2 linked regions of the Caenorhabditis elegans genome follow. Changing the gene in region 1 together with any one later gene gives a genetic interaction. Each region holds a gene or a part of one and is shown on either strand. Other genes may lie near its edges.

Region 1 (3,404 bases):
TTGAAAAACTTAATGGAAAACAGGCATTTTGGCTGGAAAATAGACAAAAACGAAGAGAAAATGAAAAAAAATAATTCAAATAAATTTTGTGCGTCAAATAAGGTGCCCGGTCCGCAGCCACAGTGTTTGCACCGAACAGGAACTACAGTACCCTAAAATAGTATTTTCCTCGATTTCAGTTTTTGAAACTTGCTTTAAATGAACGAGTGGATATAAAATAGAAAATAAAGCTTTATTAAAAGAAAATAAGTGAAAATCTGATTAAGAATTTTCAAAAAAAAATCTTTTCCGAAGAATAAATCGAATTCCTTCACTATTTTTTCGAGATAAGAAGTTTTAAGAGAAAATGCCCTTTGGAACTAAGTAATGATTAAAAAGTATTAGGGGACGCTAAGCACGCTAAAACTGATGCTTCATAATAATAAACTATGAATTATCAACTTTATAGCGGTGACCTCTACCATTACTGCCGAAATTGCGCGTAAAATATGGCGCTTCGACTCAGTGTCTGCGAATCCATTTTTCGGAATTTAGAAAATAGAAATATTCAAAACCAAGGTTTATTGATATGAAATTTGCACAAAAATTCAAAATGTATCATAAAGAAAGAGTATTTTAAACCAAAAATTAAATAAATTAGTGAGAAACATGGGCGGAATGAACATGAACTCCTCCCTCGATCTCAATGAGATGGACTCCGTGGGATGGAGTACGCTCGACAAAGTCAGCGAAGTGGGCTCCGTTGACGAAGATCTGAAAAATATAATAGTTTAAAGATTAAGTTTCAGTAGGTGAACAGGGCTCGAAATCCAATGCTCATCAGAGATGGGAGTACGAAAAATCAAACTTTTCCACGTGGTGTCGAAGTGTCCCATTTTGGTGTGATCTTCAAAAAATGCGGCCGAAGAGGCGCTGACTTCTCAACTGATTTCGCATGATTAAGAGTGTGCTGATGTCACGAAAAATTCCCTCATTTTTTGTAGATCAAACCGCAACGAGACAGTCTGGCACCACGTGCTTTGCACGAACACAGTCCGCCTTAACATTCTTAAGCCCAGAATCCAACTAACCGAGATAATTCCACCGTTGGACACAAACTCCAGAGTGTAGATCTTGTTCTGCTGGAATGGATTGGCGTGACGATCCTCGGATTGCCAACCTCCTCCGCTGGTCGAGTTGTTCACAACAGCTCCCTCATCGAATCTAGCGTTGAAGTGAAGAACAATGTCGTCTGGAGTGCGAAGATTGATGTGGAAACGAGAATCGGCGGATGTTGGGAGAAGAACGAGACGGAGGCGAGCACCGTTGGAGAATCCTTGCACTGGGATGTTCACTGGGGTTTGTGGGTTGAAGAATTCGTTGCGGAAGCTGATTCCGATTCCTCCTCCGATCATGGTTGATTCTGAAATCAACTGTGTGAGTTGGGAAGGGAAACATGTTAGGAGCAATACTAAGACCACTATTCGTATAAAATGTACATCTATGAGAATTGTAAGCTGATTCTTTGGCTCTAAATCGCATGTTTTATCACTAGGTGATGTAAAATGTCTAAAGATCGAAAAGCCGAGTAGTTTGAAAGTTGATAAGAGCGTATGAAAAACCCTCGGCAAAGTAAACAATTCTCGGTGTCTACTGGGGGAAAATGTTCAACGAAAAAAAAATAGAAATTGGGCAATAAATGTAAACAATCCTCATCTATTTATACATCACAGAATGGGCGGATTCTTGCCTATGAGTCATCAAATACGATTCTAGAGAATTCCTTACTACATGAATCATGGAAAAAAAGGCTTGAGTACATTGTACACCTGCCATCGTCTCTTATAAGCAGTGTTTCTTATCAACTTATTGATGAGTTGGCATATGCTCCGCCTCGAACTATTTCGATGATAAGTTGCTTGTTTACTGAACTGAAAAAGGCTTTTCGATGAAAAATTCAGCCCGGCATAAAGAATGTCACGAGTTAGTTTGGAAATTAAGATGTGTGCTGATAAACGTCAAGAGAGGAAGTAGTGATAAAATTCTAGAGTTTTAACAAATTTGCAAAATCTCTGAATTGTTTTATTTTAGGAGTTTTTCAACCTAAATTCGTATTTTAGTTATTTAATTGTTCCTCGTTCCACACGTCACCATTTACAACCCTTATTATCGAAGTGCCAAGTTACAGGGAGAACTTGGTACATACCAGCTCACCAAGAAAAACCGATCAATAATGTAATAAAACCCGCTGACATTGAAGACAGAAGATACCGCAATTTTCTTTAATAGCTTGGGTTTTTATTAGCGCTAAACAATATATAACGTGGCAGTTTTTTTAATGCTGACTTATAAATAGTACTTTTCCTTTCAATGAATCTTCAGAGAATTTCAATGTGGCATTTTCTTAAAATCTTCCTCCGTTAAGCCATATTGCAATTGTATGTGGTAAACTTTCCAATACTATAAAAATTGAACTTTTAAAAACTTCTGAAACTTGAGTTTACAGTAACTTAAAGCTTAAAGGTGGAGTACCGAAATCTGAGACTTTGCTTTTTAGGCTCAAAACTACCGCATATCGTAATGAGACATCTTGAAAATTTCTCAACACGTTATGGCAGTTCAAAAATCTGGAAAAAGGTCCACTTTCAGCTAAAATCAAATTGTTTCCAACTTCTCGGTGTCGCTGCGTCTGGAAGTTAATTTGTATTTAATTACCACTTTCTAATAAATAATGTGATCGTTTAATGCGCATTTATTCGTTGGTTTAAGTACATTTTCGGCCAGTGGGGCACAAATAAAAGCTATGTTTTTGTGCCCCAATGACCGAAAATGCACTTTAATCAAACAATAAACTCCTAATAAAAAACCACAATATTTATCAAAGAATGAAAATTTTATTTTAGCTGAAAATGGGTCTGTTTTTCCAGAACTTTGAACCGCCATAATTTTTTTTTGCGAAGTTTTGAAAACGTCTCATTACGAAATTCGGTAGTTTTGGGCTATTTTGGGTCTAAAAACAAAGTCTCTGATTTCGGTACTCCACCTTTAAGATTTTCAAGTATACCCAGGAGCCACGTGTCCGTAAAAGTTCAATGATGGCATTTCCGGCTAGTAGTGATGTAATTTAGTCATGAAGCTGATTTTTTCTCCTCAATAATTTTGATGATTAATTATTGATAAGGAAAATGTCAAACAATTTGACGATTACCAGAAAGTTATTTTTCTACAATTCATGAATATCGGTTAAATTTGAGTAATCATTTTCTTCGTATGGAGCATGGGAAATTATTTAGACCTTTGCAAATTCAATTTTTTTTAAAAGCATTGTTAATTACCATCGTATTCCAATTTGATTCTAGACTACTATCAAACTTATTGAAGTGGTAATAATTTTTTCCAAGAATTTTGAACAACGTTTCTACTAG
Region 2 (8,034 bases), on another chromosome or scaffold:
TTCAAAAATTATTGAGAACGTTCTAACTAGGCAACCGTCAGAAGGTGCCCATCGGACTTGCATATGAGACTTATGCCATTCGATAGTGCATGTCTTAAAACGGTTGCTCGTGAATTTTTAGCGGCAAAACTCCAGAACCAAGCTCACGGCGGGATCTCAAAGATCCTAAAATAGCACTGTAAATAAGAACTTTAACGATCTAACGAAGCAAGTTTTCATATTCACTTTGGCAGCTCATATAGAAAAGCATTAGAAACTGAATAGCAGCAAAACAATAACAACAACAGTTGCCGCACTTCACGCGCTTCTATCTGAAACAAAAAATTTTTGGGAAAAAACTTTCAACTACAAACTTGTTCTTTACAACAATATCAACAACTTATCAGTTGATGACTTTTCTGTAAAAAAATTATCCGCGGAGATATGATCTACCAAAGTGAATTTGGAAAATTGGCCCTCCAATGCTTCGTTAAAGTGCTATTTTAGGATCATTGAGAGCCCGCCGTGAGCTTGGTTCTGGAGTTTTGCAGCTAAAAATTCACGAGTAACCGTTTTAAGACATGGGCTATCGAATGGCGTAGATCTCATATGCAAGTCCAATGGGTACCTTCTGACGGTTCACTAGTAAGAACTTTAAAAGTTTCCCAAAATAATTTCATATTCAAATTTTTTTACAATTTATATAAAAATATGATAGAAAAAAAAAGACAAAAGACACACACACACAAATACATAGAATATGAAAATCACATTTTTTTTCCTTGATTTCAAAAGTTATGTTATTTAAAACTTGCTCCTTGCTGCGTTTGGTTATATTGGCACCATCTTTTTAAAAATACTTATTAGACAGCCCAAGTAAAAGTGCTCCAAAAGGTGTGTTTTGTACATTTGACAAATTTGTGCTTGAAATTTTAATTCAATTATCATTCGACTCAGACATGGTCTTGAAACCCTTACTCTATTTTTATATGAGTGTGTTTAATATAACTTTCTAAAGAGTTCTGAGGTGTATGTTTTCCCAGAGCATAAAGGTGTCAGATATGATATAAAATATCTACGAAGGAGTATCTGAACAGTTAAAAAAATTTCAAATTATAAGGTTTATAGGTTTTTAATTAAAATGACTATTCCAGGACTGAATTTTGATTTATTGATACATATTGGAATTTCTTTGATTTGGTTTTCAAACTGCCATGTTTTATGATCAGTTTCGATAACAACCAGACGAGTGAAATGAGGCAAAAAGTAAATTCAAAAATGAGTAGTGTAGTTTACCGCGGAGTTTTCAGCAGGATATAATTAATGTTGGTGGATATTCAAATGTGTAATATTGCAATTTAAAATGTTGAGTTTAGATTATAAGTCATCTCCGAATCTATTTTTTTTTCTCAAAAAACTACACTCCAAACCGCCAGAATGAAATCCGCTAGTGACTCATTTTCAGGCTTATCTTCGTTCCATTTTTCAATATTTCACAACTAGCGTGATTTTGATAAAAAATAATGCAAACCACAGTAAAGTAAAAATTTTATTTGGTTAACCAAATGACGAATTGACAGTTAGATAGCTGAAACTAGATTACAGCTATAAATCGGATGACTAAGTATTTGGGTTTGCCAACGCTTCACATACACCCAAAATTCCTGCTCCAACTACTTTTTTGAAGCTCATTTTCTTTTTCTCATTGTTTCTCTTGCAGCAGAAATCACTAATTTCGTATCCTGCTTCACAGGTTTCGCCTCCAAGGTTCTGAGACTCCACCCACTTCGTGCTCTTATCAAGAGAGGGCAACTACCGTATAACAAGGACCGATTGGCGACCAAGAACCAATTTTGACTGTTCATTATAAGAGCCTCATTCTATTTAATTTACATCTCGCCAGGTCGCACTTCACTTCTTCTCTCTACTCGAAGAAGCCCTACTGATTTTTTTCTCAAATTTTATTTCTGAGAGCCTTCCTTGCTTTACTGTGTTTTTTAAGGATCTTACTATTCACTAACACATTCAAATTTCAGATGCGCTTGGGCATTTTCCTGCTGGCACTTGCCGGCTGTTGTAGTTTCGCTAGTGCTAAACAAAACTGCTTAGTCGGAAATCTAATTGTATCGGAAAATGTTATTACATCAAAGTCTGTTGAATTGGTACGTCCATCTAATATACATACATTCTATATATTTACTTTAACTGTTTCAGAGAGAATGCGAAGGATTGTGCAGAAAACAAACTGTCAAATCTCCAAGCGGAGGACTTGTTCTCTTGACATGCGAAGAGAACAAGCTTATGGCTTTCATTAACAAAGGACAGGATTGCTCCAGCAGTGAGCTTGAGACATCATGCTTCTGCGAGGATGAGTTGTGTAACAAGGTCGACTTGGAAGAAAATATTCCAAAGCCAATCGAAGTTATTAATGCCCCAAAGTGAGTTTTGTTATCACTGTTATTTTTGACAACTGATAGGAATTGAGGTTTGCATAAGTCTCTGATAGTAACTTTTGATAAACGACTATTTTTGATAACAGCTGCGAAAGAGAAAAACTGATGCAAAATCAGATTAATTTTTTGACCAATTGAAACTTTTTTTAATATTTCGAAATTTTGAATATTAGAGAAACTAAAAACACACGTCGAAATTTCTCCCGTAGATTTGTTTTTAACTTTAGCGATTGGTTTTGAGCAATTTTTTTCCAAATTTTAAAACATTTTCAAGTTTGTACGATTCAAATGTTTAACGTTTATATGAAATCCATCGTTTTTAGATCAAAAATATGTGTAGCCTTAAATTTTTTAAACTCCTTCCGGAAATCGCACTAACTTCTTACTATATAATATTATTTTTTTAGTATGACTTTTCAGCGATATAGTCTAAAATTGAACTTTTTCACTGTACTTTCTTTTACTATACTTTGTCCTAGTTCAATTCCTGACCACAAACTGTTACGTGTGTAAATTTGCCAGTCAACGTCAAACTGATAACAATAATGGAATAATTGGTTTACATTTGGGCGCGCTTCTTATCTGACTGTGCCAATAACGCACGCAACACAACCATAAAACGTGGCTAGTTAGCTCCTCGGCATTGAAATTCGGAAATATTTTAACCAATTGTGTGATAAGAGATTGATAGTACATTTTTACCAATTACCAAAAAACTTCCCTGAAGGAAGATCAAAGAAGATAAGTGAAGATAAATTGAATGTATTAATTGCAGCAACATCCTCTGCTACGTCGGATTCTATGCCAACAACACTACTCCAGGATTCGGATCAGGAGACACCGTCACTTGCTCCCCAGGAAATGTATGTACCAGTGTTTCTGGAGTCTACAACGGATATGACGCTGCTGCCTACGCTTGCATGCCACAAGGACTTTGCGACAGCATCTTCCCAAATATTGACCCAAATAATCCAATCGCCTGCACCAATCTCGCTGGAACCAACATTCAAGGATGCTGCTGTTACAAGCAAGATTGTACTAGCCTCGCTCCAATGAACAACCCACCAACTCCATCTCCATGGAACAAGAACAACCAGACATGCTATCAAGGAATTTCCGTCAACGGAGCTCTCTTGTACGGAGGATCTTTCTCTCAATGCTTGGGAGAATGCGGATCTGCTCGTATTCGTACCACTTACAATGGAGCCAATGTATGGGGAGAGATCTTCGTTTGTGACCCAGTCAACGTCTTCACTGCTTTGAACCTCGACAACGGATGCATGAACCTTGACACCCAAAACATCAATGGAGTCCCAACCGCTCTCATCACCGGCTGTGCCTGCAACAGCATGGACAAATGTATTGACCCAACTGTTGTTCCACCAGTCTACCCAGTCAAGCAGCTCAGATGCGCTGTCGGACTTTACAATGGAACAACCTGGCTCGGAGCTGAAATGAACTGCCAAGGACGATGTGGACGTGTCAGGTTCAATGCCAACGGACAACAAGTTTCATACTTCACTTGCATGCCATACGATGTCTGCGCTGGATTCGGACTTGCTTCCACTGAAGGACAAACCTACAATCCACCACAAGACGAGGAACTTGAGGTGTACTGCTGCTCTGCTAGCAACAACTGCAACGTTAACAATCCATACATTCTCGGACGTGTGAATAACTCTGCTGTGTCTACCGCCAAGTATCCAGTTCTCTGCTACGGAGGAATCTGGGTTAACGGAGTTTCCATCACCAACTCTGCTTACGGACTCTGCCAAGGAGAGTGTGCTTCAGCTAGCTTCACCACCACCTTCGCCAACCAAGTTCACAATGCTACCATCTACACTTGCGATCCAGTCACAATGTGCCAACAAGCCGGAATCTCCAACTCTTGCGGAAGCGTTCTTGGAGGAGTCAATGCTTGCTGTTGCGACAATGATCTTTGCATTGATCCAAACAGAGGATCTCAACGCCCACAACTTCGTTGCTATTCTGGAGTTTCTATTCCACAAGACAAATACAACACTGGAGGAGACCAATTCTGTGATGGATGGTGCGGATCCTTGAACTCTGTTGTCAACGGAAAGAACGCAACTGTCTACTACTGCGCCCCAGTTGGAATGTGCCGCTACTTCGGACTCGGATTCGGAGGATCTTACGGAAACTGTGGACAAATCCCAGGAGCTGACCCACAAGTCACTGGATGCTGCTGCTCAGAAACTGACAACTGTCTTGCCCCAGCTGGAGTCAACGTCACTGCCATCCCAGCTCGTCGTGACCCAAGAATTGTCTGCTACGAAGGAATCCATCTCAACGGACAAAACATCAGCCAGCCTTACTACCGCATGTGCGACGGAGAATGTGTGTCTGTTTCCCTTGGAGGAACCGTCAATAACAACTCTCACTACGCTACTCTCTACACCTGCGATCCAAGCAGTGCCTGTGCCGCGATGGGACTTCGTAACAACTGCTCCACCATTGACAACTCTCTCACTGCTTGCTGCTGTGACTCCAATGAGTGTATTGATCCAACCTACAACCGTGTTCCAGGAAAAGCTCTCAAATGCTACGTCGGTATCAGCACCCAGCACAAGGGAAACATCGCAGGAGCTGAAGTTCTTTGCGACGGATATTGTGCCACCGTTTCCGCTGTTGTCGGATCCGACTATGTCACCGCCTTCCATTGCGCTCCAAGATCTATGTGCCGTTCCCTTGGACTTGACAACTCGAACAACACTTTCTACTTGGACAGATTCGTCAACGCGTACTGCTGTGATGTCTTCGACAACTGCAACGTTGCTACGTCTGGATTCAACGTCACCATTCCACCACTTGCACCAAATGAGATGCCACGCGCTTGCTATTCTGGAATTTTCATTGGAGGAAGCCAAATCTCTGACGGAGGATGGACTGCTTGCAAGGGAGATTGTGTTGCTGTCAACTTGAACACCACATACAACGGAGTTGCTACCACTGCTTCTCTTTACACGTGTGACCCATCTTACATCTGCAGAATGATGAACTCAACAAACAGATGCCACCAACAAGAACAAGGATTCGAGACTTGCTGCTGTGACAGCGATGCTTGCCTCGATCCAACATCCACCCCACCACGTAAACCATATGGAGATGGAAACCTCTGTTACGTCGGAGCTTACTCCTATGATTTGAAGGGAAATACCATCTTCAATGCCGGAGGAGAACAATACTGCGAAGGAAACTGCGCATCTGTTACTTCAACACTTGCCAACGCTAACGTCACTGTTTACGCTTGTGTCCCAGCATACGTCTGTAACAGCTTGTACGTCTATGACAGCTGCCGCACACTCTGGTATGATAGAGATATCACTGGATGTTGTTGTACCAATGGACCTAACTGCAACTTGAATCAAGTTGTTCCAAGACCTCCAATCAACAATCCCGGAAGAAGACGTCCACGTGTTGAATATCCAATCACCTGCCCAGCTGGTCTTATCGTTGACGGATTCAACCAAACTCCAATGGAATTCTCCGTTTGCTTCGGTGAATGTGCCTCTGTCAGCATCAATGCTACGATCAACGGAACTTTGCACACGGCTTCCTTCTACACTTGTGATCCATCGTCTGTCTGCTACCAACTTAAAGTTCATAACAACTGTACTTCCCCAGAAGCTGGAGTAACCGCTTGCTGCTGCGACAGTGATGCTTGCCTCGACCCGAACAGAGGAAAGACCGTTCCAACTCCACCACTCAAGTGCTACGTTGGACTTTACTCTACCAGCGTGCCATCACTTCAAACCGGAGCTGAACAACTCTGCGACGGAAAGTGCGCTTCTGTTAGCGCTCGCATTGCCAATGACAACGTGACCCTCTTCGCTTGTGTTCCACACTCTCTATGCCGTTCCCTCGAGCTCTACGATTCCTGCGCCCGCATGGAGCCATACTACCCAGAATTCCGAGCTTGCTGCTGTGACAATGCTGATAACTGCAACGTTCAACAGACCCATCTTGCCAATGTGATCAACACCACCATCCCACTCACTCCACTCAATGATGCTCCAATATCTTGCTACTCCGGACTTTTCATCAACGGAACCGCTTACAGCTCAGCTGGATGGCAGGTTTGCCAAGGAGAGTGTGTCTCAGTATCAATCACATCTCAATTCAATGGACAAGCCGGAACCGCTGCTCTTTACACCTGCGATCCATCCCGCGTTTGCCGTAATTTGAACATTCTGAACAAGTGCTCCAGTCTTGAGAACGGAATTACCGGATGCTGCTGTAACACCAATGCCTGTATTGATCCAACAGTCTATCCAGCTCGTAACCCAGGAAACCAACTTATGTGCTATGCTGGTATCAGCTCGAACTACATTGTTAATGGAAGCGCAGTTAACGTTGGAGCTCAAATTCCATGTAACGGACAATGCTCATCCCTCTCAGGAGTTGTCGGTGGATTCCAAGTCAACACCTATCACTGCATGCCAAACTCGATCTGTAACTCCCTTGAACTCTACGACAACTGCAAACCAGTTTGGAATGACAACCAAGTCACTGGATGCTGCTGTAACAATGCCAACAACTGTAACATTGCCAATACCACCATCACTCCACCACCACCACCAACTTCAGTCGACTATGCTATTGCTTGCTACACTGGACTTTATGTCAACGGTGTTCCATCTACTCCAGTCATTCTCGGAGCTTGCCAGGGACAATGTGCGTCCATCTCATTGAACACTACACTCAACGGAGTTGCCACCACAGCAACTCTTTACGGATGCGACCCAAGCACTGTTTGCCAATCTCTCAACATGAACAACTGGTGTGCCTCCCCAATCCCAGGAGTCTCCGGATGCTGCTGTAACACTGATCTCTGCCTTGATCCACCAAAGAACAAGACTGTACCATCTGGATTCCGCAAGTGCTTCGCTGGAATCTACGCTCAAGGAAAGGCCACTGGATCTGAAATCTTCTGCCCAGGAAAGTGCGCCTCAATTCAAGCTACCCTCAACCAAGACCCAGTTGCTATCTTCGGATGCGTGCCAACCCAATTCTGCAGACAACTCGAGATGTACGACGAGTGCAAACCACTTCCATATGATACCACAGTTACGGGATGCTGCTGCGACAACTACAACAACTGCAACGTCGATTTGGCTGGATATGGTGGAAAGATCAATACTTCAATGCCAGTTACGAACTTCCGTGATTATCCAATCGCTTGCTTCTCTGGTCTTTACGTCAATAACATGCCAATTTCCATCGCTGGTTGGCAAGCATGTAAGGGAGAATGCGCTTCTGCTACTCTCTCAACCATGTACAATGGAGCTCTCACCAACGCTACAATTTACACTTGCGATCCAGTCAGCACATGCTATCAACTTGGAATGAACAACAATTGTACTACCATTGAGAATGGACTTTCCGGATGCTGCTGTTCTACCGATGCTTGCCTCGACCCAACTGTTTCTCCACCACGTACTCCTAACCCACTCAAGTGCTACGTTGGTCTACAATCTACCTACAATTCGTTGAGCCTCGGAGCTGAGACCTATTGTTCCGGACAATGCGCTTCATTGACTGGAATCGTCGGAGGTTTCAATGTCACTACTTATCACTGTGT

The links.
Region 2: of lec-6 (region 1) and bcf-1, changing one enhances a phenotype caused by changing the other (phenotypic enhancement), as found in Caenorhabditis elegans (one study listed by BioGRID).

Annotation. Positions count from the first base shown.
Region 1 is NC_003281.10:598,965-602,368, forward strand, and holds lec-6 (Galectin), read right to left. Parts: upstream 1,403-3,404; 5' UTR 1,395-1,402; coding exon 1,071-1,394; intron 754-1,070; coding exon 637-753; 3' UTR 546-636; downstream 1-545.
Region 2 is NC_003283.11:6,402,765-6,410,798, reverse strand, and holds the start of bcf-1 (bacterial colonization factor), read left to right. Parts: upstream 1-2,015; coding exon 2,016-2,141; intron 2,142-2,193; coding exon 2,194-2,417; intron 2,418-3,207; coding exon 3,208-8,034.